2 linked regions of the Mytilus edulis genome follow. The protein of the gene in region 2 purifies or fractionates together with the protein of the main gene of each other region. This does not show direct contact. Links are inferred from orthologs where the notes say so. Each region holds a gene or a part of one and is shown on either strand. Other genes may lie near its edges. The genes, in order: signal recognition particle receptor subunit alpha-like and signal recognition particle receptor subunit beta-like.

Region 1 (17,533 bases), on a different chromosome or scaffold from region 2:
AAATTCTGAGCTCTGAACAATTGTTTATTTTTTAATCAATATAAGTAACCTCTGAAGGTCATGCAATTAAAATGTTCCCATTGATTTTTTACCTCTTGACTGACTCCTGAACTCCTTTCTCTTCTTCTACTTCTTCATCTTCACTTTCTTCTTCATCTAAATCTCTCAATCCTCCTTTCATCTGTCCTACCCATCGTTGCTACAAAAATAACATGAAATGAATTTTTCATATCTTCTAAAAGAGATTTATAGGAGTAATTTTCGTAAAGATAAGAGCGGAGTACAACTTAATGAACAATGGAGCATAGAATTCTGTTCTACAACATTGAAATTTTATGGATCTTGACAACATTTAGGCCATTTTCTTGTAATCTTCAGAAAGTTTTAAAAGAAGAGTCCTTGTCATTTTTCCTTATTAAAAGGCAGATTTTCATCTGCTTGAATGATTTTCTTGGGTTTTATGAGTACAGGTGAAACATGAATTTAAATTTTTTATTGGCTTGTATGCAGACATAGAATTTTCAGAATCAAAGGTCTGCAATTTTGGAACAAATCAACCGAGCAGAACCAAACTGGAGTTAAAATGGTTACTCAATATGGACAACTCACATAGTGAATGACAGATAAGTGTAAAACTTTGTGGCATAAAAAAATATTCCTAGGTCTGTAATCTACAAATTTGTTCCTTTAATACTATGCCCATAAATTGTGAAGACTTACTTCTTCAGCAGATGGTGTTCCATGTTTCTCTTCCATACTTCCATTAATAGTAGCATCTCCTGATCCATTTAAAGAACTATAATCAAGAGACACTGCATCTTTATTGGTTCCTCCCATTTCCCATTTAGTAGCTTGTTTTCCTTTCTTCTTTGGTGTTTCTGCTTTTGGACTGGCACTGGCTCTGAAGAGGAAAAATAACATCAAATTTTGAATAATAGTGCTCACAAGTTAAAAATCCAATTCCTTGTGAGCACTGAAGGGTAAAGATTCCCTTTCATCTAAAAATGTGATTTTTATTAATTAAACATCGAATGTGTATTTAGTTGGGCAAATTATAAATTTAAATAGGAGTTATCTTCCTTTGTAGTTTTGCAGTTAAATAAAATTTGATAAAGGATTCAAACACAGTGCATACCTTGTGAAATTTTTATCAAAAACGATTTTTCTTGACAAGTTGAGTTATTTAAATACATACCCTATTGTAACTTAAATGTCTGAGTATAACATATAATTAATAAATTGCATTTCATTGACTGAAAAGGAACTAAGAAATGTACACCATACTGCACTATTTTGTTTAAACTATCCCCTGGGAGATACAGATACAACCCAGTTACATAAGGAAGCAGTTTGAATGCATTGCATGCAATCTTCAGCCAAAAACTAACTGAACAATATGACTATACAAAAGTTACAATACAATTTTTCAATATTATAGATTCTGTCTTCAAAATGAAAATTTAATAAGAATACAATTTTATTTGTGGTTATTCCATTTTCTTTGTTAGGAATTTCATGATACATGAATAAAGCCTTTATCAATAGAAATGTGAACAATATATCAGTTGCTCTATTAATAAAGTCAGCTATCTTAACTTACGTTTTAACAGGTTTCTTTCCAGACATCTTAGCAAACATCTTTTCTCTATTTTTCTGTATAGTTAGTTCGTCCATTTCACCCAAGACTGCAGCCGTCTGTTCAGTTTTCTTCACAGTTTCTTTAACAACTTGTTCTGAAATAATATTCAAATGCATTCAAGACTCCAGCAATGTTCACAATAACAATAATTGCAATAATAAACAACCAAACATTTTAGTAACCATAGACTCAAATTACCTATTTCCTAAATAACAAGAATGTGTCCATAGTACACGGACGCCCCGCCCCATCTGCACTATCATTTTCTATGTTTAGTGGACTTTGACAAATGGGGTAAAAACTCTTTATTTGGCATTAAAATTAGAAAGATTATAGCATAGGGAACATGTGTACTAAGTTTCAAGTTGATTGGACATCAACTTCATCACAAACTACCTCGACCAAAAACTTTTTGAATTTTCCTTGGAGTTAGGTACATGAGGTATTTTTGTTATTTTACTTTTTAATTTCTTCCAATCAAAATAAATTAACAATACAGGTGTTTTACTTTTTTTCCCTGTTTATTATTTGCATGGTCTTTAGAAGAGAATACATGTGTGTAGGTCACAATGTATTTATATATACCTTTGACTGGTTTATTTTCCTTTCCTTTAGCTGGTTTCTTTTCTTCTTTTTTGTTTTCTATCATTGATGACACAGTCTTCTTAGATTTTAAAGATTCATCAAAAGTTTTCATTTTCCTAAACAAATAAATAAACTTGGTTTAACCATTCGTTGATAATTACTTTCTGACATTTGACATGTTATATAATTATATCTTTTGACTTCCAAGAAAGTAATAATAAGGTGCAATGTTAAGACAATAACAATCAAAACCAAACTATACTAATAGTGATTTTCATTTTCATGGATTTTAATGGTATCGGTAAACCATGATTTAAAGGTTCCACATAATATTCAAATTTCCTTTGACTTGTATACGTATACAGAGTTTGCAATAACCATAGAACCAGATGCTCCACAGGGCGCAGCTTTATACAACCGCAGAGGTTGAACCCTGAACGGTTGGGGCAAGTATGGACACAACATTCAAGCTGGATTCAGCTCTAAATTTGGATTGTGATTAAATAGTTGACACAGCATAGGTTTCTGACACATAATGAATGAGGTCTAATGAACTTAAAAAAAAAATTTGTTTTGCCTTTGAGCAATTTACTATGCTGTTGAATATTAATCCTCTCAAAAAAATGTTGAAGAAATTTTCGTTTTATTTATGAAATCTGAAATGAGAAAAATTGAACCCCAAATTTTTTTTTCACATCCCCGTTTCCCTTATTCCAAAACTGATCTCAATTCAAATTTCTTATGGAGTTTGCAACAATAGCCACTCATTTAAATACATCATAAAATATTAAAATGTAAAAAAAGTGCTGGTTATCACTGAATGGTAAAGATTGTTTTAATTTATCAGTTGGTAGTAAAAGAGAATATACATTGTATATTGTATAAAACAATGATTTAAGTTGATTCAACTACTATTCTGGACAAAGAAAGATAACTCCAATTGAAAATTTCTTGCTATTGCGCAATATTGTGCAATTAGATATTTCTTGCTATTGCGCAATACTGTGCAATTGAAAATTTCTTGCTATTGCACCATACTGTGCAATTGAAGATTTCTTGCTATTGCTGAATACTGTGCAATTAAAAATTTCTTGCTATTCCACAATACTTTATGATAATTTTGGATCCTGATTTGGACCAACTTGAAAACTGGGCACATAATCAAAAATCTTAGTACATTTTTAGATTCAGCATATCAAAGAACCCCAAGGATTCAATTTTTATTAAAATCAAACTAAGTTTAATTTTGGACCCTTTGGACCTTAATGTAGACCAATTTGAAAACGGGACCAAAAATTAAGAATCTACATACACAGTTAGATTCGGCATATCAAAGAACCCCAATTATTCAATTTTTGATGAAATCAAACAAAGTTTAATTTTGGACCCTTTGGGCCCCTTATTCCTAAACTGTTCGGACTAAAACTCCCAAAAAATCAATCCCAACCTTCCTTTTATGGTCATAAACCTTGTGTTTAAATTTCATTGATTTCTATTCACTTATACTAAAGTCATTGTGCAAAAACCACGAACATGCTTATTTGGGCCCTTTTTGGCCCCTAATTTCTAAAATGTTGGGACCAAAACTCCCAAAATCAATCCCAAACCTTCCCTTTGTGGTCATAAACCTTGTGTTAAAATTTCATAGATTTCTATTCACTTTTACCAAAGTTAGAATGCAAAAACTAAAAGTATTCGGACGCCAAAGACGCAGACAACGATGCCAACGTGATACCAATATCATGAATATACGACCAAAATATTTTTAATTTTTGCGGTCATATAAAAAAAAACTCTATTACTCCATCCATAAAAGTTGGTACCCATGAATATAATTGAATCTAATTTTTTCAAAATTTGCAAATACATTGTACATGATTTAAATCATAAAATGACAGATATATGTAGTTCAGTAATAGTGTATTCCTGTTGTAAGTAGACCTGACATTTTAACTGATAATTTTCGTGCTTACAACTTCTTTTAATTGGTCTCTGGTGGAGAGTTGTCTCATTAGCAATCATCTCCATATATTAAAAGAACATCAGATAGAGAAGTCATCATTGACTGTAAGTGTTGGATCTCTTGTTCATCATATGTTCCTAAGTTAGAAATCAGGTTACAGCAGAATGCAATGTGTGTGTAGGTAAAAGTAATATCTTTGGTTAATTTGCTTGCTAGCTGAACTGTGAAGTCATTATTAGGCTAGGTAAATTACCCTCCTTTAAGGGCAGACTAGTCTGACAGACAAAATTTCTATAAAGCAGGATCTTGGCCTAATGAATGTTCAGTTATCTGCTATAAATATCCAGATTCATTTTTTAAAACTTACTTCTGAGACTTGGCGATGGCTCTGCTCTCTTCTTCGTTAAATCTCAAAATCTCATCAAATGATCCCTTAAAATTAAAGGTGCCACACGCTAAACCATCAGTAAGACAATCCTTGTACTTATTTCTGAATTCCATCTGTATGTCTGTCAAGAACTTATCTATGTAAGACAGCTGTAATATCTTTTGATAAGCCACCTAAATTATAAAATATAACACAGATGAATGCACAACATTTAAAATATTTAAATATTTAATCATAAAATTGTTCAATACAACACTCCTGTAGAAGACATTTAAACATTACAGCTGTTATCATAATGCTAGAAAGTTAAAGGTTGGGTATGCTTCATTGTTTTGTTTGTATCAATACTTGCTCAAGCTTTGAAATTTAAAAGATTGACTTCTGAAAACAGTATAAAAATGTGGAGTTAAACTTGTTTACATTATATTTAAATTTGATTGGACATATATATTAGTGTAACTCAACCTACTTATATTGTTTGCAGATATCAATTTTACATGTAATTTCAATGCTTGGACAAGCTTTAATACAAATAAAGCTAACAAGCTAACCGAGCATTTAAAACTAGCTAGCATTAGGACAACAGCTGTAAATTCATACAGTTTCTCATAAACACTTGGGGATGTCTCTTCATTCATTATTTGTTATAAAGATTCCAGATGATAGAGACAGTTGTACATTTGATTTTGTCAATGTTTGTGGTCGCTGGTTAGACATTTTGTGCATTGTATGTCTATTGTTTGACAATCCATTTTTTGCCTATTATTTGTGTTATGTTTTGTCTCACTTTGATATTCTTTAGGCTCCTGTTTCATAGACAAAGTACTAGTAATCCTGTTTGTTACTAATCTAGTTTGTTATTGTTTGTTTTTCTTGTATTTTACCTTATTCCTCTTATACAGATTAAAATACAAAGGTTGAGTGCTAAGAAAAGTAATTTTACTACAATCAACTATCCCACTTCATATCCTAAGTCAGGAACCATATGGTTGATTGTCTTATGGTTATCTTAATGTCTTGCATGTCGTTTAAGGATTTGTCATTGATGGCAGATGTTATACCACCATGAGCAGGTCTTATTTAGACCTTGAAATTATGCACAAGTTTTCTAGATTCTGGGCAATTCAGTATTTAAACTGTACAGTCTGAAGTCAGGAACCTATTGTTCAGTGGTTGTAGTTTGTTGATGTGGTTCATACATTGTCATAAGTGTTTCTGGCTTCTTGTTTTTTATACAGTGTTTCTGGCTTCTTGTTTTTTATACAGATTAAACAGTTGGTTTTCCTGTTTGAATGGTTTTATACTAGTAATATTTGCATGATTTGGGGCCTTTATAGCTTTCATTTTAGTGTGAGCCAAGGTTCCGTGTTGAAGGCTGTATTTTGACCTGCAATGGTTTTCTTTTTACAAATTGTGACTTGGATGGAGAGTTGTTTTATTGGCACTTATATATAATACATCTTCTTATACAACGTATCTAGACACTTGTCTTTTGATTTGATATGTTATTAACCTACATGTACATGTATATATATTTTTTTGTCTCATTGACTTATACTTGAATTACTTACATCTCATTTTATAATTGATAATAATAAAACTTACCACAAAAACCAATTCAAATTCATTATCAAGCTTATACTTCAACTGTAAAGCTTCATGTGTATATGTATTATTCCCAGTTCTTTCCTGAAAATAGAATCAAACTTTTTTCAGTAATTGTAAAATAAACGGGAGACATAATTATTGAAATCAGCCTGTTTAGGATCCATAGTAAACAGACACAATTTTTTTTGTCTAGACCTTTATCTAATTAGTGGGATTGAACTTAATGGGAATTAATGTTTTTTGATTAATGGGACTAGTTGACAGACCAAAGTTCAGCCGGATGTAATGCCTTTTCATTAGCATGATTAGTGGGATAAGTAATAAAGTTTTGGTGTTAAGCATGTTAAGTGGGCAAATTAATGAAAAGTATGGTCAGGGTCGAATTCACCTTGTTTATCAAAATGTTTTGTTCAATGGGGGTTTAATATTCACTCATAGCCTGGAACAGCATATCTTCAGTATAAAATTGATAAAAACATCAATCTTGACAAGACTTCACAAGATTTGTGGATTTTGATGGTGTCTGACTGAAAAACTATCAGACCTGCTCAATAAATAAAATTATCCACGTAGTTCCAAACATTTATATAAATACATGAAATACAAGTTTTATCATAAGGTAGAAATTTTTGTCATATAAAACGGAGTTCGCGTAAAGTGGTGGTCCTCAGGATTTTACCACCAAATTTTGACATAGGACTGACACAATTTTAGTATTTTTCAATAGAATTAAAAGTGAGGACCTGCAGATTTTCTTCAAGGACCACAAAGGGAAAAAAGATTTCGCGACCTATGATAAAAATGACCAAATATGATCCGATTTAAAGAGTGATTTATTTGATGTGAGGCGTAACCCTGTTATTATGGTATGTGAAATACGGAATGTCATTGGTGCTATTTTTCAATTACTTCATTTGCGTTCTATACCCTTAATAAAGTTATGTGATGAAATTAACGATATTTAAAAAAATACTAGAGGCTCTAAACAGCCTGTGTCGCTCACCTTGGTCTATGTGAATATAAAACAAAGGAAGTAGATGGATTCATGACAAAATTGCGTTTTGGTGATGGTGATGTGTTTGTACATCTTACTTTACTGAACATTCTTGCTGCTTACAATTATCTCTATCTAAAATGAACTTGGCCCAGTAGTTTCAGTGGAAAATGTTAGTTAAAATTTACAAATTTTATGAAAATTGTTAAAAATTGACAATAACTCCTTAGGGGTCAATTGACCATTTCCGTCATGTTGACTTATTTGTGAATCTTACATTGCTGAACATTATTGATGTTTACAGTTTATCTCTATCTATAATAATATTCAAGATAATAACCAAAAAAAGCAAAATTTCCTTAAAATTACCAATTCAGGGGCAGCAACCCAACAACGGGTTGTCCGATTCATCTGAAAATTTCAGGGCAGATAGATCATGACCTGATAAACAATTTTACCCTGTCAGATTTGCTCTAAAAGCTTTTGTTTTTGAGTGGAAAGCCAAAAACTGCATTTTACCCCCATGTTCTATTGTTAGCCATGGCGGCCATCTTGGTTGGTTGACTGGGTCACCATACATATTTATTAAACTAGATACCCCAATGATGATTGTGGCCCAGTTTGGTTTCATTTGGCAAAGTAGTTTCAGAGGAGAAGATTTTTGTAAAAGTTAACGACGGACGCAAAGTGATGGGAAAAGCTCACTTGGCCCTTTTGAGCTAAAAAAGTGACAAATTACAAGTTTGATACACTGGCATCACTCACTACTTAGTTTAAATGACATTTAAAGATAGCATTAATATCAGAAACTATTAGATAGGTTTAACATGTCCATTTCCACATCGTGCAATTTATTAACTATAACCGGACAGTAAAATCAGCTATAATTAGGTAGTGTTAATAGGTCCATGTCAATATATATATAAATGTATGTGTTCCTGCTCACAAAGAAAATTAATGAAAATTGAGTGTGGATGGTAAATAAAAATTGATTGAGGTTTTAAGTTACAGAATCTACGTAAAATCACCAAGTATGAAGTAAAGTGGAAAGTGATTTATATAAGTTGTAATAACTTGTTTCCCAATCAACTGTAGTATGTATGTATATACATGTATATACTAGATAAATTTCTTGTTATCAGAAGAACCCTTTAAAAGCTGTGACGGTATAGTGGAACATGTACAATGTACACTCCCTATCCAGATTAACGGAGATGTGTCATTAACATTTACGACAATTTTTTACAGGGACATTCAATTCCCACCCAACACAAAGGGAATGCTAGGACACAGGGAACCCTTGACCTCCAGCACTCTATAGTACAAACAGTGTTCCAGCTAGGTTTTCAAAAGGGCAGGGTGCCAATCCTGAAAAAGGGCATTTAACGCGCGATATGATAATATGAAAAGGGCATATTTTAATAAAAGATGTTAATCAAACATTTGTGTTTATTCGTTGAATCACAGGTTATACAAGAACAACATCTTTAGCCCATATAGAACTCTATCTTTCTACTTTTAAGGCTGAAAAAGTTGTCAAGCAGCTTGTCACACAAGTTTTTTTATCATTGCTTGGCACAGTTGAACTTTATATGCAGTATGTTTTGAAAGGAGATCTGTTTCATACTGTTTCTATGGTCTACCACATTTTACCAGTTTCACCTTTCTACCCCTGCTGTGCTTGATGGCAATACAGCACAAAACAGCTGTGCTCAGTAAATTCAATGCTCAGTAAATTCACAATTTTAGGATATAAAGCAACAGTGAAAAATAGTATCAAAAATAAAGAATACAGAAAAAGATGACCAAGGCACCCTACCAACACTGCTACTAAGACCCTCTTTAACTTTTCCCATAACTCAAAATAAATACCTAAACATATATATTCTTAAGCAAGAAGTATGGAGACACATTTTAGAATATGTAAATGGGTTACTCAATGCTAGGAAAAAAATCAGATTGAGTTATCTTTCTTTATTCGGGTGTGCTCCTTCTTTGGAGGATTATAAACAGTACGTAAATATGATGTAAATATGATCACAATATGGAGGCGGATTTTGTTATTTTCGTATCAAAAATGAAGGCAGTCAATGACAAATACGTCTGAATTTTCTGTTTATTTTACAGAAAACAAGTAAAACAATGTCTTCAACGAGTTTATAATGGTTTTCCAACTTTTTGTCATTACGTTTCTTCCATGAAACTACGGTAAACATCGCAAATTGTGCCCAAGTTGTTGTATGCACATTTCTTCAAAGATAATTGCCGACTGAACTTTCTATTTGAACGAATTAATGTTGATGATCATTAATGACCCATCCGATAAACGGATTACCTATAACAACAGATTATGACACCAGTTGTAATCATTGATTAGCTTGGGGTGGTAAACAAAGTCATAATCTTTTCCCCAGGTAAAATTTAGTAATTAGCGTATCATATCAATACGCAAATTAATATGCAATCGATCTTCAAAAAAGGCAGAGCGCCCTGGAAACTGTAAAAAGGGCACAGGGCGCCACTCGGAAAAGGGCGGGCGCCGCGCCCTCTGAAAACGGCCTAGCTGGAACACTGACAAATGTATATAAATAAAGTATGTTAAAACTATAAAATGTATAAAGTATGAAGACATAAGACAAGTAATATTATCACCACCTATAACTTATACGATTATCTAATAAATTTTCAAAATGGTCAAGCCATATGACAGGTGAGTAACATATAAGGTATTAACAAATACAACCAAGAATTATAGTTTAACAGAAATGCAATTATTTGAAATTTTCCATATGTTTACATCCCACGTCACGTCACGTGTAGTATTTACTACGTTACTTTTTCTGTATTTTTCTCACCTGAAGTATTACAGTCTTAATTAGAGAGTTAACTGCTGGTGTAAACAGTTGAGATGTTCCCTGAAAGCACCAAAGAACAATCCCACCTTTACTGAATATCGTAAAAAAGTCTAACATCTTGAAAGTGTCTCAAAAATGTGTCTCAACGACCGCCGGAAATGGAACTTTGCCGATAACTATCGAAAATCATCGGGAATTCCCGAATCTGTTTTCTCAATAAGACTGCGCGATAAAAAAAAGTTGTAAAATATAAGTCTTTGTAATTTTGTCATTGATGTAAATTATAAATATATCACCTTTGTTTTAACATAAATTAGCAATTTAGAAACTTAATTCATAACAATAAAGAAAACTAAAAGCAATTTACCTACGGTGAATAAAGCACTCTTAGACGTATTTCTCCGCACACTTTTTCAGCAAGAACGGCCATTTTTGTCACATGTTCAATTCGCATCTCACATGACCTGTTGTTTGGCCCCGTGATCAACTTTTGCTATATTCCTGGCAAATTCAAACGATCGTCAAAAAGTCACATGGATATGCTAGATCAAGCACTGGAAGCAAGGTCGGTTCAATTATTCGGAATTTCAACTAAAGTGCACGAAAAAGACCAATGATTGCTTGCATGACAATTTTGTAATGCGACACTGAAGTAAAAATTTTGTGTACTTCTGTCTAAATTTTGCATTTAAAATTATATATTAAAGTTAAATTGAAAATAAAGATCGGTAAAGCAATTGACTGATTATTAAGTGCAGTTGTAACTTTTTTTTTAGGGTACACGACAACTCGTACTTTCGGCAAGTCGTACTCAACCAACTCGTACCCTATTTTTGCCAACTCGTAACCATGTTTTATTTGATATTATTTATCAAGTTATGCATAGTTATTGTAACTTTCTTTCGTATATCATTATATAGCAAAATACAAATAAAAAAACAACTTTCATTGTTAATAAAACTCAATCATAATTGTTTTAAATAAGCTTATAAAATGCTAATCGTTATAATCATTAGTATTCCTTAGAATTGATTGTTTGAAATTGTTTGCACGGCAATTTATTTGATATGCACATTAAAATAATTATGAGTACACATATGCTAATCAGTGGTCATTAGTGGATAACATACCTACAAAAATAGAATGGATTTGTTAAAAGTAGAATAAACAGAGAGAAGTAAATGAAAACAAAAAATCGGTATAAGTGCGGCACTATGATCATCAAAGGCCGTTGAGTTATACTTAAACAATCACCATCCTCACCGAAAAGAAAATGCATGGCTTAAACGTTGTAAAAACCAAGCTTAGAGAAAAAATATATAAACTATGGTGAAATGTATGATCATCTTCAATTGCAATCATGGTTCGTCCACGTTGTAATGTATGCAAGACGATATATAAATTGTGTATCTCAATAATATTTTCCACTAATCCTGTTATTTGGTCCATGTTTGGGGCCAATAAGAGTATATATTTCAAAAAGCTGTATTTGTAGGACCCTTATTACTATTATTAATAGCAACAAAGCCTTGTAAAAATGTCTTACAATGTGTGTGTAAATAATAGTGATACTAGTGGTTTTTTTTAATACGCCTCTCGTAATTCTTCTAAATATTGGCTTAATTTTTATTTTAACTTTTATCATAATTGAGGTCAATACGTATATAAATGATAGTAGTATTGTGATGAAATATACATTTTAAAATACGTACATGCAGAAAGATTAGATCAGGTGTGAAGTTGTTTTGATAACGGTTAAATAATTAATGGCACGCTTCGTGTGTGACTAAGGGCCGATTAACTGGTAATCGACATACTTCAGGTGTGAAGCAATCATCAATCAATTAATCACCGGCACGCGAACTGCAATAAATAATTTGTGTATTAAGGTTTGTGTTTAAAGGCTGTGGATTTTCTATAAAAATCTTGATTTATTTGCCACAAAGTCCTTTTTTTTTGAAGATCTCGTCTGATTGCTTATGAGACAACTCTTCACTAGAGACCAAAATGACACAGAAATGAACAACTATAGGTAATCGTACAGCCTTCAGCCATGAGCAAAACCCACCCATACCTCATAGTCAGCTATAATGACCAGTAAAACAATTCAAACGGAAAACGAACTGACTGCCATACTTATTTAAAAAAAAAAAACAAAAACAAAGTGTTAACACATCAACAAACAACGTGTTTATCGCAATATTCAGTAAAAAATCTCTTCAAATATTCTAAGGATCGAGCACACCTTGACACTTGAGGATTTTTTTTCAGATACAAATCCTATCAGTAGATAAATCAGTAGGTGAATAATAAAATATGAAGCATTATAATGTTAAAAATATTTTCTACTAACACGAAAAAACTAAGACATGTTCAACGCAATGTTCAGTAAAAAATATCCTTTTCATATTCTATGGATCTACCTCAGGGTGCACTGGGATACTTCAGGGAGTTAAAATATCCATATCTACTGATATAAACGTAGAAAACTTATATTATAATGCTAAAAAAATATTGGGTACGACTTAGTAGAAGTACGAGTTGGTAGAAGTACGAGTTGCCGAAAGTACGAGTTGGCTGAGTACGAGTTGCCGAAAGTACGAGTTGACATGTATCCTTTTTTTTATTTTTTTTCTTCTTCAACCATCTGAACCGGCTAAATTTTCCCTTACAATATTGTGCATCCTTGTTAACTGACCTTGTATTAATGTAGAATAAAGATTAAAGTGTTTTACCCTATAAACCTGTGAGTCAATTATATTTTAAATCTATAAAAAAAAAAATGAAAATTTTCCAACATTCTGATTCATCATGACATGCATGACATTCATATATTATTTATAAAACACTTACTCTCAAATTGTTATTCCTTTTGTACTATCAATGACTATATTCATTGCTTATGTAATGATTAGTTAATATGAAAAGGTAAGATATCAAATTTTAAGATTATGAATTCAGTTTGTTGTTTCAATACAAAATATAAATTTCATAAAATTTTATTAAAAAAAAAATAAACAGCCTTTCCCATTTTACTCTAGCTATTATTGGACAATTTGGTACTTAGCATACAACTACATGTATGTGGCACTGGTTGGCTAGAACTTTTGTAAATACATTTGTAATACACTCTTAACAACCATTTTGCTAACATGTTATGGTACTAACAAGCGAGTAATATATAACCAATATATTGTTCTCGTCCTGAATATGCATGAAATATTTGCCACTGGACGTTAAGCAACGAACAATCAATCAATCAATATAACCAATATGCTTAATAAAATGTTGAATAAGATAAGATATATTTTATTTCCAATTAAGAGACCACAAGGGGCATACATGTATCAGTCAGGGGACTTTACTTAAATGAGTGATTTTCTAATTCACTGATTCAAGTAGCATTATTTTCATTTAGGTTGGAATTAAGAGTTGTCTTTCTTCAATAATCACCTATTTAAGTAGTACAAAATAATCACTAGAAGTGATTTAATTTTACTGTAGCTTTAAATATAGAATACTAATGATCCAGGGACTAATTATGTTTCTAAACTTATCAGAACCAACATCTGTGTTGTCCAGGATGACCAGGTCATTTCAGGTGATGACCTTGTACTGAATCTAGGATAATGACATAAAAATCACTTGTTTAAGTATCATACCTCAATTTCCTTCCCAAAAATCACTTCTTTAAGTATCATTATTTTAATAACCCCCACTAATTTCAACACCCTCGAACAGTGAAATAATTTTATCGTGAACAGTAGAATTTTATTACATAATCTGAAAGATGAAACCTTGAACTTTACAGGAAAAATACTACCACTGCTGGGAAAAATCTGACAAGAAAGTATCAGTTCATTATGTAAAGCCATTATTACAGCATTTTTTCAACTAAAATAGAATTTGCAGCTAAATGATAGCATTAAAGGCATAAACCTTGCTACTTAAAAGAAGCAAAAAATACATTTTTTTTCAATTTTACTAATGAAAAGATATTATTTAAACCTATGTGTTTGAAATTTTGTTAAAATTACAAAATCAAAATTTGAGACAAAACTTCAAATTTGCTACTCAAATAAGTGATTTAAAAATCACTTACATCAGTAAGTCCCCTGACTGTGTATAGAGAATACAAGTATAAGGAAAAAGAACATTGATTATATGAAAATCTATAAAACGGGCTGCTGTCTGGATTAACCACAAAATCCCCATTTTCTATTAATTTGTAATAGAACATGTACAGTAGACTAATAAATGGACATTATTGTTTAAAGGGAATTTTTGCTCTTCAGAAATCAAAAATTTCTAAATAAAGTCCTACAAAAGGTGTTATACAATGAAAGCAGATGTTAAGAATTATCTAAATATTTTGATATCTTACATACATGTATGTTTGTGTAAGTTGTACCTTGCATTGAATATTGTACACTTTGTGAATTGATATTAAAGTGATTTCCACACTTTTTGGGAGTATAAAAAAATCCAAAACCAATATGTGATTGCCTTGATAGTTTTCAATTTTCCTGATTTTGTCTACATTTTGTTTTTTCAAGATACACAAAAGTCAAAACAGTGCAGTGAGCACAGTATTCTGAACATCCTTATTGATGAAATAAATACTCTGATATTAAGGCCAAAAATAAAATATTGTTTGTTTCCCCTCCCCCAACTGACCCAGTAAAATCGCAGTGACTCGAAAATTTTTATTGGCCATTCTTGTACATATTTTTTGTTGTTGCTATGTTGGTTTTTGGTGATATCTTTCTGATGCTGTAGTAAACGTGCATTGGTTTTTTGGTCATACCTTTCCGATGCTGTAGTCAACAAGCGTTTTAAATCAAGGCATTTTTGCATTGAAGCGTCAATATGATTCGGAATCGAGGAAAACAAACATAATGCCTTGCCACACGATTTGTGTTGTCATGGTTGTGTGCAAGGGTGATATTTGAAAATAAAATCTTAAGCATCTTTCAACCCACTGAGTGCACCTTGATTGGCTTTGTCTTTTACCTCTTTTCCTGTTTAAAGGATAAAATCTTTGAGTAAAAATGGTCTGAATTGTGCTTTGAAATCAATCTACTTAGTAGTACTTTGTCTTCGACTTCGACCAGGTTGGGCACAAGTCAGAAAATGTTGGATACATGATTTCCCTGCTTTCAGGGAACCTCCTTGATTTCTGGTGTAAACAAGACCAGTTAAAATGTGTTTTTATTTTCCATTTTTTGGCATGAAATTTACAAAAGGGCACGTTTTACGTTATAACTTACACAAGTTGAATTTGTAAATACTCAAAAGTATTCTAGGAACAACAAAACATGAATAAGTGAAGCCTTGTTTTTTCTAGAACTCGAAAAAACATACAAATCTTTGTTTAGGAATTAATTGACCAAGCTGCATGATCCATGCATGTTGATTGATTGATTGATTGATTGTTGGTTGCTTAACGTCCAGTGGCAAATATTTCATGCATATTCAGGACGAGAACAAGTTCACAAATAATACAATAGGTAGGTGAATACGATAGAGGCCATCTGGGATGATGGTCGGGGGAATTTGGACTGCCACTGGAAATTGTGGGTATATTGGATAGGGACAGAAATTTTGCCTTGCAACAGGCCACCTACGGACCCCTCAAAGAGTTGTTGCAAGGGTTCTTAACGTGCAAAGAGCGTGGCACTCTCTTTACACGAGGCATCAGATTTAACATCCCCCTTCTGACCGGACGTGACTGCGAACTTGATAAATCCCGCACATCCAAACGGACGCCCCACTTCGGCTAGCGTTTTACTGCCGGTCGGGAGAAGACCAAGTGACCATATTTCTATACCCCAGTCACCCTTGGGGTGTTATCCATGCATGTGTAACTGAACATAACTGAATTATGTTCACTTCTATTGAAAATTTTTATTCATTAAATTTTAATTCCCAAGTCATTAACATATCTTTTTGTCATCTCATAATTGATGATCAAGGTATGAATTGGTGAACACAGGAATTGTTTTGTTGTGAGTTATGCATCAAATTAGACATGTTAGACTTGAAATAAGCTTGATTTTTAACTTATTAAACACTTGCTTTCATTAAACATTGTTATCACATGAAGAATGTGTGCTTTTGTAGATTTCATACCATAAAATGAATAGGAAAAAGGAGGTCCCTGTATACTGTTTTTAACACCAGAAAACTTGGGTGTACACTGAATACAGGGAATATATATCCCACTTTTCTTGACTTATCTTACCTGTTGATTTTTGTAAAAATTCAATATAGAAAAATTATATCAAGAAATAAAATAAAATAATTTGCCTACCTACCTACCCCTACCCTGATAACCTCAGTCGGGGAAGGGAAACAAAGATATTTTTAATGTTGGCCTAATATAAAGTGCAAAATAATCTACATAGATATATAGGAAGATGTGATGTGAGTGCACATTGTTTATAAACCAAACTTGTCCAGAACATTACATTAGTTTTGCATGGTGCATGAATCTAGTACAAACATATGTGTGATGTCATTGTTAACTTGGTCATTGTTCTGTTTTGTTCTGTACAGGTATAGGTATAATTCTCTTTTTTGAATCAGAACCCTCCCACAGAGGATAATACTTTCACTTAACTTATAAATAAAATTAATAAAATCTTGTATTTTGTTGTAGTCATTAAAATCTATTTGGGCTACCAAAATTTGAGTCTAAAAAAAATGTTAGGCCAAATATTTTTTAAACTCTAAAACTTCCATTTAAAATTAGAGTTATCTCCCTTTGTGCGTAATTGTAGTTGCACCATTTACAGTTCATTGAATATTCCTCTTTCCAATTTCCATCCATACATGTATCAAAATTGTGGTATGAGTCTTAATTAGAATCTGTTTTTTTTTTTCAATTAGTCTGTTTTAAATACATGTAGCTGTACATGTATGACTTTCGAATTATACAACGCAAATTAATGTTGATATATATATTAGATTGGAAGAAGCCATGACTTTACATCAGCTGATGAAAAGCTTTGAGCTAGCTATAGTTTCAAGTAATTTCATCCTTCTAAATATTCATGAAATTTTGCCCAACTGAACATTTAGGCAACCAACACTCGGTCAATCAAGTTACATTTTGTATTTCAAGCAATTTAATGATGTTTGATTGTCCCCATATTTGTAAGACCTGAAATTTTCAATATTTGGTGCTTTTGTGTCATAATCTTTATGCAAATTCATGGATTGTTTTTCTCCATATCTTTTGTAATTACACCTTATGTAAGAATCCGGGGTTTTGATTGGTTAATAGCCAGTGTATTTTTCACCAATTTACTGTTATCAAATGAATATCGTTCATTTTTAATGCCGCCGGGGTATTTGCTAAAAGGATATGCCTTTTTTTACCCTCTCTGCCGTGGTATTTGCCAAAAAATACTCTATTCGACTGGACGCTTGTAACGTCACGATCATCAATGCGTTTTAGTACATTAACATTCGGTGTAATTAAACAGATATATCATGT
Region 2 (17,533 bases):
GCAGGGTTCATCTGACCTTGACCTAAATTTACATTGATCTTTGATAATGTTGCATTTATGCGATACTTGTAGTAAAACCTTTATATTACAGTTCTTCTTTAAAGGCATGCAAAGCAAACATTGAATGTATGCTAACAATAGGTAGGTGAAGTTTTAGTCTGGTTTACTTATACTGGGATTTGATTGGACAATAAAAATTGACATTGAAATCAAGTTAATGTTTATTGTCCAATCAAATTCCAGTATATAGTAAACAGACTGTAACAGACTACCTACCTGTTGTTTACAAACACCCAAACAAACATAGCAAGCAAGTTGATCAAAAGATTGCTTTGCATGCTTTTATAGAAGAGCTGTAAAGACTTCCAACATTACTCAATTGTGAATGAGTAAAGCATGTGAGACATTTCAGCATGTGCACTCTAGCTATAGAATTTGAAGTTCTGAGTGAGCTTTGGCTCATCTTAAATTGAAAGTTTAACAAGACCAATACCAAATCTGGATCTGTTTTGCTGCATGTATTTGATTGAGGTTGCATATATACTGAACTTAACTGAAGTACAGCTGATCATTCCCTTTCATAGATTTTTTTCTTGTACAGAAAGTGTATAAATTTCAAGCTAATATCAAACAAGAAGAGGCTGCAAGGCAAATGTCAAAATTGCTTACACACTATAACTCATCATTTTCAAAGCAAGCTGGAGACCAAACATATTTTTGTTCCTTTGATACAAGCCAAGAAACCCTGGACCAAAAAATTTCCTTTTACATTGAGTGTTGTTATATTTCAAACTATTGGCAATTAAAAAGTGGCAGATATAAAATTGCTGACATACTGCAACTCATCATTATCAAACTACAGACCAAATAAAAATCATTCCATTCAAAACAAGCTACACTACTTTTAACCATAACACATTATTCTACAACTGGCATGCAAATGAATCCAGAAATTAATGCTGAAAAATTACTTTCTTTCTCTAAAACGAGATGCACCACTTCAGAGTGTGTCAATATTTCTTTCGAGCTTGAAGGGTTTGTTGAAAAGTGTAGGAGTGTATACAAACTATTGACAATCTCTTTTGAAAATTTTGCTGAAATACAACTAGGTTCCCAAATCTTGAAAACAAGAGAAAATTTCTCAAACAATTCCATAAGAACAGGTTCACTACTTTAATGGTTGACATTTGAAAACTTGAAGTTGGATTACAAGTTGCTACATGTATCCTCTTTTCTATTCCTGACCATTCAAACTTGTTCCAGTTTTGCTCTTTGTGCAATTAGGTAAAAAACAAAATTACTTATTTACTCAGAAAATGTATGGTCATTTTTAATTTCAGACAAAAACTCCATGAAAGTGACGAGTATTTGGACAAATGATATGCTGTCATCCAGCTTTGAACCAAATACCTTAAAAAATTTGTTTTAGCATACAATTACCACCTTTTTTTTCAAATGGATGCTGTTGTTTAAATGTTACCCATATACATGTAGCTCAAGCGATCTTTCTGGGCTTATTGTGTTACAAAAATAGGTACTAGAATTCATAGAATTGTACTAAGTAATCTTGGTCAATTTGCTTGTCAGGAATTTGCAATAATAAAAGCACACCTTGATCTATGCATTAGGGTCCATACTTGGGGTATAGGTCTAATAAATTAAAACATTCCAATTTCAGAATTTATTTCTCCTTCCAGCACCAAACAAAATATACACAATTGACAATTTGAGTATCTTCCCTTACAAATTCTGACTGTCTTTAAAAAAAACTAAAGTTTGTACAAATTGAATGACTTGAAAACTTCTACAAAATTCAATCAATTACTCTTAATGCCTTTGGTTGTCATAAAATAAATGATAATGATTGATCTCTATATTTTAAGAATACTCTAAACATGCTAAATATATGAGCATTGATTAACAAGTGGTACTTAAGTACATTTTAACAAACACTATCCATTTAAACTACAAACACAACATGTATATCCTTAACAGTTCTTCTATAAAACAAACTTGGTTTTAAACACACATTTGATTTGTCAGGTATACAAAACTTGCATTCATGAATTTTTGAATAACCAATCAAATCTTAAGCTATTTTTATCAACCAATCTTCAAGGTCCTTCATTTCTGGTTTACTTTCAGCATTTTTACCCTTCAAGCTACATTCTACAAAGTCAACTTTCATTGGTTTCAAATCATCAAAACTGAAATCCTTGTTACGTTTACCAAGAAATGTATTGTTGTTTCCCGAACTTTCGATCTGCTGCAATGAGGCTGACCTTGTTACTCTCAATGTGTTCCTAAAATATCAAAAATATAGGAATCATTTGTTTGATCGTCAAATAAATAACTTCTTCTATATCGTTTGTGATATTGTAAGTGGTTTTGGCAAGTGTGAGATTGCTCTGACATCTGACTATCTAAGTAGTTGTGATTTTGTAATCTTTCTTTTTAAATAGCACTTGTACACATGGGAGCTAAATTATGCAAAAATAGGGATTAGTAGGAGAATAATTGTTACATGTTCATGGAGTAATACAAATTGGGAATCCAATATAATTTGGTTCCTGAGATGAGCATTTAATCTTAATTAGACTCATCAGTGGTGCTTGATTTTAATCAGTTAGAAGACCATGGCCAAATCTTAAATTAACAATAACTTTACAAAAATTGAAAATTCATTGACTTGTCATGTCAACACAAATATGCCAGGTACTGAGTTGGCTATTCAATTCAGGACAAATCCTCAACCAGTAGCTTATCTGACTATTAAAATTCCCCACCTATTTAAATCAATCAAATAAACTTTTTATTGGTGATTCAGTGTTAAAAGATGTAACACATAAGCAACACAGGTACTTACATTTCCTTTTCTAATTGTGACCTAATGACCTCAGCTCCTTTAGACGTTAAAAGGTCCTGCTTATTACATGCTATCAATACAGGTGGGATATTGTATGATATAACGCTGTCACTAAGTGCTGTGTATAGAAAACTAAAAATAAAATATAAAATATTTTTTACAACATGTCTGAGGTAGTAATAAATGACATCAGTTGATCACTTCCAATTGTTCCATCAAAGAAAATCTCAACTTTATATTTCACAAAAAATTCAATTCAATAGAGCTTTGTTGTTTTAAAGTTTTCACCAAATACAACTTCATTTTATAATACATTCAATTAATTTTGTTATCTATTTGATCAAGGATATGCCAATAGAAATTGTCGAACAAATATGATTTTTATTATTTTAAATTTTTTTAAGTGATTTTTTATTCACTTTTCTAATAAGACAAAAAGAAAAACAAATTTCTAGTTCTGATCTTAAATATGTGAAAATAGAATTTTTTTTTTATCAATATGGTTACTGTAACAAAAATTCCTTAAGGTTAAATTTGCAATGATTTTTGCATGTTACTGTTACAAAATTACCTCTTCCTTTTCATTTTGCTATCGATTTAAAGAGTAATTGTCATACTAGTGTTTACTCTATTTTCATCTTTACTGACAGATTTCAAACATTTATTTTTCAATATTAACTTACTCGGCAACGTCTTTAATTTCTTTCTGTAAGGTTGAACTGTCAATCATAAATATTATACCCCTGGAAACAAATAAGCAAAATTGTACATATGCTGACCATTGGAATAAATTGAAAATTTTCAACCTGGGTTTTTAACCTTAATATATTACATAACTACATAAACAAACAGTTCAAAGACACACACTTAACCTTTTTAATCCTGTCACATTCTGTATGTGTCTGTTTCAAGTCAGGAGCCTGTACTTCAGTGGTTCAACTTATCGTTTAATGCTGTATATCATATTTGTTTTTCATTTATTGTTTTTTAACATAAATCAGCCATTAGTTTTCTTGATTGAATTGTTTTATATTTGTCATTTCAGTGCTTTTTATAGATAATTATGAAGTATAGGTTTTCCTCATTGTTGAAGGTCTATGGTTATTTTCGGTTGTTAAGTGATATGTCATTTGGTCTCTGATGGAGAGTTGTCTCAATGGAAAGCATACCACATCTTCTTATTTTCATATTTAAATTCTTTTGTTGGATATTTCAAATTCGAAAACAAATATTTGACTTATCAAAATATAACAGGTTTTAACAGTAGACAGTCTCTTTGTAAAAGGTAAAATTTAATACAAAATTTCATCAATCAAAACTCTGATAAAAGTCACATGATATCTGGTAAAAGTTTACTTATGGCTTATACTTTACCTTGCTAAGCTTTTGTACTGGTTTAGCATGGTCTGTCTTAATCTTTCATGACCTGGTATATCAATTATCCTTAAACTTTTATTCTGCAAATAAAAAAGTGAAATGTCTGGTAAAATTTGATATACAAGTGTTTTTATAACAATAGCTTTGATTCTGACAGTACGAGAAACAAATAACTCAATACAGTAATTAATAGAACTTAATTATAATAAATTTCAACTTTTCTTTCCTCTAAACTAATATGTGAGATTATACTGTGGCCAGTGCTACTTTTCATCATTTATTATAAACTGTGAGCTACTTAACTTTTAACCATAAATGACCAAATATCAAAAAGCCCTGATTTTTAGTGTCTTTAAATTATTTTTCTTAAACATTCATCCATGTGAATAAAATACATTTATACTGCAAAAATTAGGATCTGAATATGGTTCCTTTCAAAGTACAATGTATAGAATAAGATATTAATATGACACATTGGTACCTTATATCAACAAGCTCAACTTTGTAGTTGTTGTTTAAAATACAACAAAAATGTGTTACATTATGGATTGACAAGAATGACAGAGGGTAACCAGTATATACAACCCTCATTTGGAGTTGGGTATAGTAAATGTAAAGGCATACATGCATGTTTTCAATTAATTATCATTTACATATTTAGAGTTGAAGAAATCCTTTTTTGCACTATCATATACATTGCAAGGGTCCGGAAACGGTCATATTTGCCAGTCATGTCCTAAACTGAAACTATAATGTCCTAAACTTTTAATTGGGATTTAGGTCAAATTTTATTTTCCTACATTAATAATTTCGGTCATTTCGTTGAGATCGACTTTCAAAATCGCCATTTTGAACATATTTTTGTTAAGTTAATGACTTCCTGTAATTAAACTGCCACTCCAATAAAGTGTTATAATCCTGAGGGCCCTCCTAATAACTATATTAATGCCTCGGGGAGCTATTGGCTAATGATTGCTAATTAATCTCTTTACCTGTGTTTTTAATTCATTGTAATTCACACCTGGCAATTAATCACAAGCTCCAAACTATTATTATAAAGAAATAAAAATTCCATACCAACTGGCTTCAATATTTAATTACTCAACAAGTCAGACAATTGTCAATTATGATTTAAAATCAAATTAAAACTTGGTTTAATTTTGTAGAATTTTTTTTTTTTTTACTTCTAACACACGTGCTTTGTTTACTATGTAATACGCATGCTTGAAATTCTCTTCCACAGATTTAGACAATTAATCGTAAATTTTAAATAATTTCATCCTAAATAAAGCCAGTGCAACTACTTTAATTGATATTCTTACACTATTAAAGATAAAATATTAAAAAGCCGATGATTTCCTGTGATTTGGATAAACAAAACTAATCCCGGAAATGAGTCCGGAATTGTTCGTTTTAGTATTGTCGCAGTGCATCCGGTTTGAATTTTGACTTCAGAATCGAAAGAAACGTAAGCTAAACTGAGAATATTATCGTTTTGAGTCATTAAAATCATTTTATTTTTAAACTGCTGCCTTCCCTTAATTGCCCTTGATCGATTTTTGGAAAATGGTAGGACAAATCATGAAGTAAATGCGATGCAACAGTGAAACAAGTTTGTTGATGCTACGAACATGACGATCGAGTATGAGCATACTCATAATGAGTCTCATGCAGTAATGTGATTTTGGCAATCATCTTTTGAAAAGGGGTATCAACTTTTAAGTTGTATGAAAATGACCGAAATTAGGTGAAAAAATTTCCGGATCCTTGATACATTGTACAAATTTTTCTGACAGGTTTGATGCATAATTTATATATATCCCTTGTGACATTTTAATGGTATTAATATTAAATCATAACTAATTTATATTTACAAAAGTATAGCAGCTATTAAGTCATGTAAGTCACTCATTTTGTATAACAAACTTTAAATTTGACTGTGCTGTATGTACATGTACATTGAAATCTTACAAATCACAATTAATGTTTCTTTCAACTTGACCTTTACAAACACTAAAGGAATTTCTTAAATGCTTGCAATATGGTCATGCAACTCTAAGACACATATCTGCAGTAGTTTACCTCCCTTTAATTACCTATTGGGTCATTAAATAAAGCAGAACTATTTTGTATCAACAGTACCTTTCCTTGAACTTGGTAACTTCCAGAATTACTGGCTATTGAGCTAAAGGTGTCTGTGTAATTCTGATGAACAAGCTACAAAACAAAAAACAGTCACAGTAAAACATGGACATACAATTGCAATGTACATGTATTAATGTTCACAATATGTACATTTTAGTACAATTATAAAAGCATCTTTACAAATGTACCACTTTGCCACCTCTCTAATTAATTTCACATAATAAAGTAGAATACTTTTGACATTTAGAAATTAGTTCTTGTTGCATTCTATAAGGACGCTCAAAAAATTGTTGAAACTTCAAAACTACATAGCTGTAATGAGTTTCAAAAAAACCAAGAGGAATGTTTGTATTTATAACTACATAGCTGTAGTGAATGGTGACCAAAAATTCTTTACATCCAACCAACTTATATGTAACTTATAAATCTAACACAAGAGTTTGTGATGCATGGTTAGATTTGGATCCAATAAGGTCTGTATGTTGAGTGTGTTGTTTATATGTTTTGTACCTACCCTGGTATACAACAGAGTTTTCCCTGATTCACATATTCCCAGCACCAACACACCACTTCTCTTATTGGATTTTCCTCTACAGACAAGGAGTACTGAAAATAAAAAGTAAATTATTTTACATGAAGGTTTAACAATATTTCAGGATTTTGTTCAAATTTTTAAATTCATACCAACCATACATTTTTTGTACCTGGATTTCAAGGTGCAGAAGATAACCACATAAAATCATGAAAAGCCCATGCTGTACATTGTAATAGGCATACATGTACTAAAAATGTTAATATTGGAGGAGTGTTGCAATTTGTTTTTTAAATACAAAATCGCATTAAAAAATAATGTTCTCATTCAGTATTTGGGGGAAAAAATGATATAACATTAGGGAGCTACCATTTAATTTTTATGGGGGGGGGGGGGGGGGACTAGGATGACAAATTTTGTCCTGCATTTTTTTTAGCTGTAATCTCTGTCCTGCCTTTTTATTTTTCACTCTAATCGGTCCTACCTTTTTTCTTTTAGTTTATCCTGACTTTTTTTACCTAAATTGTCGTCCTGACATTTTTTTTTTGCAAGTGTCACATTCTGCCTTTTTTTTTACTCAAAACTCCTGTCCTGCCTATTTTTTTCAAATTTCATCCTAGCTTCCCCATAAAAATCAAATGGTAGCTCCCTTAAGACAGTGAATCTCTACTTATTTTTTATAGTTACATGTAGTATATCTACTGGTATGAAGGGGTAGAGCACTACAAACCAGTAATTGACATACTAAAGATACTATTCCTGACTTAGAAAGTAAACTTTTTCAATACATTGTAGTTCATTTGCTAATTGCCTATTTGATTGTTATTATACACAGTCATTTAAAAAAATTGCTTTCCTTTGTTCATCCTAGATCTGTACTATTCCAAACAAAATTGGTTTTAGTATGCGTAAAGTATGATCAGTTGAAAGTGATAATTTTAATCAATTTGAAAAAAAAAATTCTGATATAAAAATATTTTAGTTTATCAAAAATCAATTTAATTATATTTAATACGGTGATTTGAAAAACTTTAAGGGTTACACTCATTATGCGCACAATAATTTGCTCTTTCTACTAGCTCTCTTTTCTCAATGAAAATGTGTCCCTGCTAAGGGAGACAACTAAAAAATTGATCTCTGATTATCGGGTCAATTACATGTACATGAATTGGCAAACAAGACTATTAATCGATTATGAAGGTTGCAAGTACTTCCTTCCTCCTTGACATATGCAGTACACACACCCCAACAAGTTTCCTCATTTACTTATCTGAATCAACTTTAATTGACAATTTTTATCAAATTAATATTTTTTCATATCATAAAATACATCTTTGAGTACATGTATACTGACTTTTTGTCACAAGAAACTTGTTTTCAAATCTTACAGATATAGACAAAATTTGTGATTTGTGGTAGTGATAAAAACAGTCTAGATCAACTCAACCATATTTCTTTATAAAAATCTACCAGAAAATAAGGAATATATCATTTAACTAAAGTTAAAGGGGTTAATTTTTTCTGGTTTTTTTTCTTCATTTTATTAAGAGGAAGTGGTCACTTCAAAATGCATTAAAATTTATATGTACATACATGTATATCCAGGAAATTGAGCAATGTCTTAAAACTTACGGCTGCTGGTGCACTTGTGAGACTGTAGTAAAGAGTTATAAACAAGGCCATATTTGTCAGTAGTTAATGTTATGATCCATAATAATTCCTTTTGAAATCTGAATGAGGAGTAATTTTCTGAGTTGGCAGCCCTAATACATGTCATATATAACCAGTAAAGAACTTAGGATAGGGTTTAAAATGGTGGCCATTTCACATTTTGCAAAACAATAATAATTGTGGCAATTAGAAATTAAGAAATACAATTGTTTGAATTCTGCTATCTTGTTAAATTTGCTTCAGGTTTCTCAGACTTTTTCCTTAATGAGACAATACTCGTCATTTCACCTTTTAACAGAAATAACAGCTGAATGCATTTTGTAGCATTTGGCAACAATGGACTTAAATAATGAAGGTATTATTAGTATGGCTAATGAAAACATGTGGTAAAATGGCTGTACACGTCATCCAAGCTAAATACTGTTATAACAACTACAAAATGTAATTGTTTGAAGAAGGTACTTCACATAGTTTTATTTACTTATTTTATGACTCAATTTTTACTTAAGGGGTTAAAGTATCTATAAGGATAATCTCTTATTTTATTCCTTGTCCTTCAACTAGACCATGTAGACAGGACATATCGGACTGATGATAAACTGAAGTTGAATCCTGTGTTCCCAGAAGTCAAATTATACAGTATCATTAAAAAATTATGAGAATTTTTTGTTCAAAATTAGAGTTCATTTATTATGATGTAGGTTATAAAATAGATATGTACACAAATGTAGAATAGTAATTAAGAAAATTTGCAAGGGTTCCACAAAACCCAGTGTCTAGTCTACTTTTGCTGTTAATCGCAGGCTCAACAAAAATGAGGAAAAAAACCAATAAAAATATCGATTGTAAGAAGCTTCTGTCCAAGTTGGGTAAAAATTCAGGATAGTTTATGAATCTAATTAATGTTTTAAAAAACTTTAACTGAAAACTACATGTAAGTCCATTTACAAGTAAAAAAACAGATGTATACACAAGGACAAAATTTTAACAAAATTTCCTTCTAGATACTAGATTTTGATCATGAACGAGCTTCTGTACAAGTTTGGTACAAATCCAAAATAGTATAACTGTATAAGAAAGTTATTAAAATTCGAAAAACTTTATCCACAGAGTGAATATTTGTGGCCGACAACGACGCCGACTGAATGTAGGATCGCTATGTCTCGCTTTTTCGACTTAAGTTGCAAGGATCGACAAAAACAACAAAATCGTTCAATTTTTTTGATGTCATGTTTTTTAATTCCTGCATCTGCGCAAAAATCTACAATGTTCTTCCTTTTACCGGTCTGGTTTGTATGAAACTTTGAGTAAAATATATATTTATCAGTCTAGTATAAAATAGGAATGAACGCAAAACCAATTTCATTTTTAATTATTCCTTGATATGAAAAAACGTTACATGATGATAGCATTTCTTTGTTTACATTGCATATGAGTCATAACATAAGTAACGTCACAACTAAAATCCCTAACAATAGAACCAAAATCGGAAAGGTTACTGTATTTCTGTTTGTCCCCATTTACAGGTAATGTGCATGCATTATGCCTGCCTCATATTATAGGGAATCAATAAAGTGTGACTTGAGCGGGCACCCTCTTAGGCAGTCAGTGAGCCCCACTAATGAAAATTTCAGGATCCGCCACTGTAAACTACATTATGTATATAAATCTTCAATCTTCAATCTTTGTCGTGATGACAGAGTAATCTCTCTTGTGAATTACCCTCTCTTGTAAAATTAATTTCACTAATGTAGTTTCTCCTTTGTACTTAGATATTGTAGGTGGCTCTTTAAAAATATTATAGAACTATATAAATGTATCACTTGAAGAAAAAAAAAAAGGTTAATTAGGTTATTGGAATGGCATGAAAAATTAAAAAATATTAAAAATTAAAAGAAATTTGTATTAAATTAAATTATCCACTTAAACTGTTTGTTTCCTCTATGTACTCCGCTAATAGTTGACTGATATTTTCTGCATTTGGCAAATTGATTGTTAATAAATCGTCTAAATCTGTTGGAATTTGTCCTGTTATGAAGTATATTTGATGAAATAATTTGTCTCTGGCATCTGATTACAGGTCACATTCAAAAAGGTAGTGTTGTACATTTTCTTTTTCTTTGCAGTGATCACAGGTTTCCGAGTTGATGTGCTGGTTTATTATAAATTGGTATGCATTTAATTTAGAATAACCTGTTCATAAACTGTTGATTATGTTGTACATTTTTTTGACGGGTAGTCTTTTTTTACTTTATTTTTAACTTCAGGATGAAATCTGAAATAATGACAGCCAGCATTACTGTTTTCCCATCTGCGTTGCCATTTTTTTGTAACAGAATTTCTAGCTGCTTTTTTTACATCTTGTTTTGTATACACTATGTCATCAACTGCTAGTGATTCTGCTTCTTTAGCAGCTTCTTTTGCTAGGGAGTCTGCCTCATCGTTTCCTTTTATGTTGGCATGTCCTGGTGTCCAGTTTAAGTTTATTAAAATTCCATGTTCATTTAAATTTTTTATCTTCCCTTTGATTTCGTTAATGGTTTGATGATAGCTGTCACTTTTCCAATTAAGAGTTAAGATACCTAAATTATGCGGTCTGACTGTCCGAAAATAAAGTATCAATTTGCTGTTTTGAAAAAGATTCTGTGTAATCGAGTACAATTTTCATTGCTATAAGTTCAGCTAGCAAGATTGATCCTTTGTTAGAGACAGGTCTTTTTAATTTTTCTTCTTGATTATTAATGTAAATTATAGCTCCTGCACCGCATATAAATCTGGATAAAACATATGGCCACATTTCTTCACGCGATTGCAACATTAACTTGGGTGAAATAAAATATCATGTGTTACCTATTGTAAGCAAAACAACTAAGATTGCTACTATGATGCCTATGGTAGTTGGATCCTGTTTCTGGACATTGTCAGTCAATATATTTGCGTACTGTAAAATTTGTTCCTGAATGCTGGCTCCCATGTTGTCAGTCAACGTCAACTTCCGGTGTGAATAATATTAAGACCAAAGACGGAAATGTAAGCGTATTCCGATTTTCCATCGAAAAAAGACGTAAAAAGGCGGAAACAACCGAACATGTCCGAATATGTGAACGTTTCTGAGTATAGGATCTTTACGGATCAGACCAAGAATTTGTAAAGCGACGCTATACAAATCCTTGATCAGACTCACTTATTTTCATTTGCTCTCTGTTATAGCTTACGCTTTTTAACACCATAAACAGACTAATATATTTCACTTCATATTCTCAACCAAACCTATCATGAAACAGATTTATTCTAGAAATAGATATGTATATATTATACCGTATATCCATAAGCATTGGCGGATCCAGGGGGTTCCGGGGGTTGGAACCCCCCCTTTTTTTTTGGCCAATCAATGCATTTGAATGGGAACATATAGTTAAAACCCCCCTTTGTCCTGGGTTGGGACCCCCCCCCCCTGTTTTTAAATGGCAGGATCCGCCCCTGATAAGGAATATACTTACAATACTGTTGGAAAGTCATTTAGGATGACATATTTTGGTATAAAATATTGATTCACTCATTGGGTTTCACATTTGCATAGGAAATAAACTGAAATTTTATCACAAAGCAGCTGTTGGTATGATACGGATTATGTTCTTCTCATATATTTTATGATGGTATGATACCAAACCCCTAACGAGAGGGAATGTGCTTGATTTTCACATGATAAAGACCTAATTTTTCTATCTGTTTAATTGAGGTGTAGCTGGAGCTGGCATGTCAGTGACTGCTGGTTAGTCCTTTGTTAATATATGTATCATTGTCACTTTGCAAAGTTTCTTTTGTTACCTTTTCTGACATCAGACTCGGACTTCTTCAGTTAAAACGATGTTTAAATAGTTACTGTGCGTGTTGTTATGTGTTTCTTTACTCTACATTTGGCTGGAGGTTTTAGATGGCTCAAACAAACATGTTTAACCCTGTTGCATTTTGCGCCTGTTCTAAGTCAGGGGCCTCTGGCGCACGCCTTCGTTAGTATTGTATGCTTTTTTCCCAATTACATTCTCAAATTGATGTTTTGTCTAGTCTATTATAAAGACTTGTATTGAAAGAGGCCTTTATCACATTACCATTCGATCGGCTTGTCCCCAATCATCATTTTGTATTTCTTATAGCAAAACCGTATCATACTTGTTTTGAATAGTTGATATATATAAACAAACACGATTGAATAGAAAACTTACAAAATTACATGACCATGACCAAAAATTATTATTTTGAATAAGAAACTAACATTTTTATCCGTTAAAAAGATCCGAAAACAGGAAACTGGAATATGCGTCCAATTATAACTTTATTTGTAACACCATTCACACAATTGGATAAGGAAACTGACACTTTATGACCACAGTTTTTAAAGTAGTATATTATCATAAATCTATTGCATCAACAGTTGCCAGTGTAGCAAATAATCCTTATCCAACATAAGACTGTAAAATGTCAAACTTTAGATATGATCCCTTTTGTCATGTTATAATAGTCTAATATCATTAGTCAGTTTTGTTCATTGGTTGTCGCTTGATGGTGTGCTTCATTTGTTTTTCTCGGTTTTTTTTATATATATTAGACCGTTGGTAATTTCCTGTTTAAATTGTATTACACTAGTCTTTTGTTGCCCTTTATATCTTGCTGATGATCGGTGTGAGCCAATGCTCCGTGTTGAAGGCCATACTTTGACCCATAATTGTTTACTTTTCTGGATGGAGAGTTGTCTTATTGGCACTCATATGATGTCTTCTCATTCAGTCTACTCAACCTCATTCAGCGTCAATAGGTTGTAAACTAGAAAACCAAGTAACCAAATATGATATTTTTTTATTGTTAACATTGATATAAAATTATAAATACAGAAATCCGATATACATAACTAATTTCAATTAATATGAAAATAAGAAGGTATGACATATTGATATATCAATATATGCAGTTCCCGGATTAGACATAGGCTTCAAGTTATCGGAAAGCATTTTGTGTGAATACCAGTCGACAAAGCAGACAGCAATGAGGTAGTGCCTGACACAAATATTACGCTAAATATTGTAATATTACCTTGTCTTATCTCATTATTTACTCGGAACATTTGAAGGGCCTCGCTGTATTGGCTTCGTAAATAACACACAATTCTCGTCCAATATTGTTTCCTCTTAGCCCCCCTCTCTCTATATATATATATGGTAGGCGACCACTTGTTGTTCAGCAACCTATCGGTCTATCCCTTTGATAGATTCCCTGACTACTATTATAGAACTTGTTTGAATGATTATTCTAGCTTTAAGTAGAGTTGGTTGTTCTGGACTAATTAAGAGGTAGACATGCTGCTGATAACAATCTATACCAATTTTCATTTTTATGCCCAATTTATTGTTTTATTCTGTCTGTGCGTCCGTTCGTCCGTCCCTCTGTCCCGCTTCAGATTAAAGTTTTAGGTTTTTGATAAAGTTAAAGTTCAATCAACTTGAATCTTAGTACACATGTTCCCTATGATAATTATGATCTTTCTAATTTTACTGCGAAATTATAGTTTTGGCCCCAATGTCACAATCCACTTAACATATGAAATGACAGTGCGAGTTCGGTATCCGTGTACTAGGACACATTCTTGTTTTTCTCTGCTTTGTATTGACCAAGCTGAGCTTTTGAGCAACAAATGTATATTGATATCGTTAAATGAAATGTCTGACTAGATGCATCTGGGACCAAGTATATAGGATAGTTAAATGCATAAGTTCTTTTCATTGCCATAAAAATCATTGACATTTAAACCCGTAAGGTCCCATTTTTACAGATTAACCGTTAGTTTTCTCACTAAAATTGTTTATATATTTATTGTTTATGTCAAAGCCTTTCATAGCCGAATATATACGGTGCATTTTCCCATATTGTTGAAGGCCGTTCGGTTGTCTATAATTGCTTACATCCACTTCATTTAGACTTTGGTTAAATACTTGTCTCCTTGACAATCATAACATATCTTCATAATAAATATTTCAATAAAGAATTTCTATTCACTGTAAAAAGGGAAACAAGCGATTTTGAATTTAACTTATGTTGTTGCATTTCTAGTAAATTGTGTTTTCCCGTCATGGTTTGTAATGCATGTTTGTATATACACACACTAAATGGAGTACTAATACTGTCCAGTCTAATTATTATATATAGAGCTCTGATTTCGTTATACTTCATATGGAGTATAACGAAATCAGAGTTCTATATTTTAATAAGACTCAAGTATAATTGTCCTGTGTCTTTTTTGATTCAATAAAAAAATGTGGACGTATAAAATAAGAGGATTTGATATGATGGATGAAATAACCATCCCACCGAGTTTTAAACCGTGCAGCCTTCAACAATGAGATAGATCCTCAATCAAGCAAGCTACAAGTCAGAATAAGGGCTTTGATACTGACACGATTTGCATCTATTTTTCCGTTTGCTATAAAATATATTATAGGGGCTTTGCATCGGAATTAAACACATTTATTTAAAAATAAACAATTTTATCACAAATCAGCTGTTGGCATGACACGGGTTATGTTCTTCTTATATATTTTATGATGGTATAATACTGAACCCCTAACGGGAGGGATTGTGCCTGATGTTCATATGATGAAGAAATAATCTTTCAATCAGTTTAATTGAGGTCTAGAGCTGGCATGTCAGTAACTACTAGTAGTCTGTTGTTATTTATGTATTATTTTCTTTTGTTACCTCTTCTGACATCGGACTCGGACTTCTTTGGAACTGAATTTTACTGTGCGTATGGTTATGCCTTTACTTTTCTGCATTGGCTAGAGGTAATTTGGGAGGGTTGAGATCTAAACAAAACATGTTTAACCCAGCCGTGTTTTGTCCCAAGTTAGGAGCCTCTGACCTTTGTTAGTCTTGTATGATTTTTAATTTTAGTTTCTTGTGTGTAATTTGGTGTTTAGTATGGCGTCCATTATCACTGAACTAGTACCGGTATATATATATTTGTTTAGGGGCTAGCCGAAGGACGTCTCCGGTCTGGAGAGTTTCTTGCTACATTGAAGACCCATTGGTGACCATCTGCTGTAGTCTGTTCTATGGTCGGGTTGTTGTCTCTTTGACACATTCCCAATTTCCATTATCAATTTTATCACTTAGATTAAACTATTACATCAGTAAATTCATTAATTTGAGGTCTGTTAGAGAGTCGAAAGAGATCCAACTCTTAAATAAATCCGCGGCAAACTATACTTCGTCAAACATTTACAGTTTAGTTACATTGCTCATTAACCATCAGAATTTAGAACTATATAAGCTTATCGGAGAAGACAAAAAAGTAAAATAGGTAGTAAAAAATAACTGTTATTTTATTTCGATATAAGATTTTCACGATACAAAATTGTTAAGTCCATATTCAGTTCTACAAGCAAATGACATCTTTAAAAACAAATACGACACGGAATTGCATTTTTTTCTTATAGAATTGCACTTTATATATAAAAGTAGAAACATTTCTTTGTAGTTCTTGCATTCTTCAGCATACGTCTTCTAGCACATAACAGGCATCATTCACTGAAAATAGAAAGTTATCATCTGGATTTAACAATATCTTGTACAAATTGTGCATATTGATGTACCAACATATTAGTTATATTTGAATAATAAAATGCTATTAAAAGTAACTTTTATATTAAAAGTGCACCCTTTATTGGTATAATTGCTGCTTTTTCCATTAGTTATCAACGATGAACTCAGACACTGTACGATCGCATTTATGAAAATACCATACAAATCGAAGACTTTTATTTTTAGATTTATGCCGAATAATTTTAATAGCCTAATAGTTGAGACATACACATATTTAAAACAATTAGATGTTTAAAAAGATAATTATCAAGACCTGTCAAGTTAACTTTCAATTCGGGAAAGCATCAACGGCAAGTTGAAAAAAAACCAACGAATTTTAGTAGCTAGCACGTGTTATTTTTAAAATCACTGTCTTTTTATTCATTTATAAACAGTCTTTATAGGGAGTTATATATACTAAAAAAGAAGCGATTTTCAATTATATTTTTTCCTATTGTGATCTATTGTTAACATTATTGTTTTCTTACTAAACTACAGAAATTGTCTTGAACGACGTATCGCATATAATGTAAATAGTAATTCCATTAAGACGATGCTACTGATATTGTTCTAATTATAGACTAGCCTTCTGCGTATGTTACTTTAGAAAAGCTTACCATTTAAAAAATCATCCATCCACTCATTTCAGGAGTAAAAATTCTTGTAACGTTCCTGCTTCCAGTGCATCATCAAAGGATTGGAAATCCTAAAACAGTAATAAAATATTGAAGAAACAAGTCTACAGTTATTCGGACAGCATTACAAAACTTGAATACACTAGCTTAATTATGATGTATACAATATACCACTGTGATGTAATAATAGTTGTTTGCACCATCCTAATTTCTATGAGGGGGGGCAAGGGGGTCCCAATAACAGCAAAACAGCAAATTGATTTGCCTCATAACAGATAACAAGGAATTAACATGGACAAAAACAGATAACAGTAAATGAAATATTAAAATAATTCGGTCTTTGAAAAATCAGTATTTCTTATTACGGATATAATCCTTTGTAATGCATTCCATTTTCTATGACTATGTTTTTAGTATTAATTTATGTATCTAGAATGAGTTTAAATTACTACTCAATATATTATAATATTTTTTATACGCTCGTTTACAGAACGTTTTATGGTATACTGTTGTCCGACTGTTGTCAACGTGTCGGACATTAACTCAAAAACTCTTTAACCAATTTGCATTAAACTTTGAGAAATTGTTTATATCTATTGACGTGAGCTCCCTTTTTGTTTTTATAAATTTTAGATTTTAAGTTTCTGGGTAATGGGTTTTTATTAAATAAAATTG

The links.
Region 1: the proteins of signal recognition particle receptor subunit beta-like (region 2) and signal recognition particle receptor subunit alpha-like purify together in Homo sapiens (affinity purification with mass spectrometry; 6 studies listed by BioGRID and IntAct, counting the BioPlex papers as one, with this or other methods). This does not show direct contact. The link is inferred for Mytilus edulis from reciprocal best matches to the Homo sapiens genes SRPRB and SRPRA.

What each region holds. Positions count from the first base shown.
Region 1 is NC_092348.1:29,411,341-29,428,873, forward strand, and holds the start of signal recognition particle receptor subunit alpha-like, read right to left. Parts: upstream 10,219-17,533; 5' UTR 10,150-10,218; coding exon 10,033-10,149; intron 6,265-10,032; coding exon 6,181-6,264; intron 4,749-6,180; coding exon 4,555-4,748; intron 2,341-4,554; coding exon 2,225-2,340; intron 1,734-2,224; coding exon 1,601-1,733; intron 902-1,600; coding exon 721-901; intron 200-720; coding exon 93-199; intron 1-92. Other genes in the region: upstream stimulatory factor 1-like, read left to right, coding at 10,566-10,597. UniProt on the Homo sapiens protein: Component of the signal recognition particle (SRP) complex receptor (SR). Ensures, in conjunction with the SRP complex, the correct targeting of the nascent secretory proteins to the endoplasmic reticulum membrane system.
Region 2 is NC_092356.1:41,359,968-41,377,500, reverse strand, and holds signal recognition particle receptor subunit beta-like, read right to left. Parts: upstream 11,611-17,533; 5' UTR 11,566-11,610; coding exon 11,442-11,565; intron 6,995-11,441; coding exon 6,903-6,994; intron 6,461-6,902; coding exon 6,386-6,460; intron 4,324-6,385; coding exon 4,241-4,323; intron 3,610-4,240; coding exon 3,550-3,609; intron 2,999-3,549; coding exon 2,867-2,998; intron 2,304-2,866; coding exon 2,090-2,303; 3' UTR 1,667-2,089; downstream 1-1,666. Other genes in the region: SH3 domain-binding glutamic acid-rich-like protein 3, read right to left, coding at 16,864-16,929. UniProt on the Homo sapiens protein: Component of the signal recognition particle (SRP) complex receptor (SR). Ensures, in conjunction with the SRP complex, the correct targeting of the nascent secretory proteins to the endoplasmic reticulum membrane system.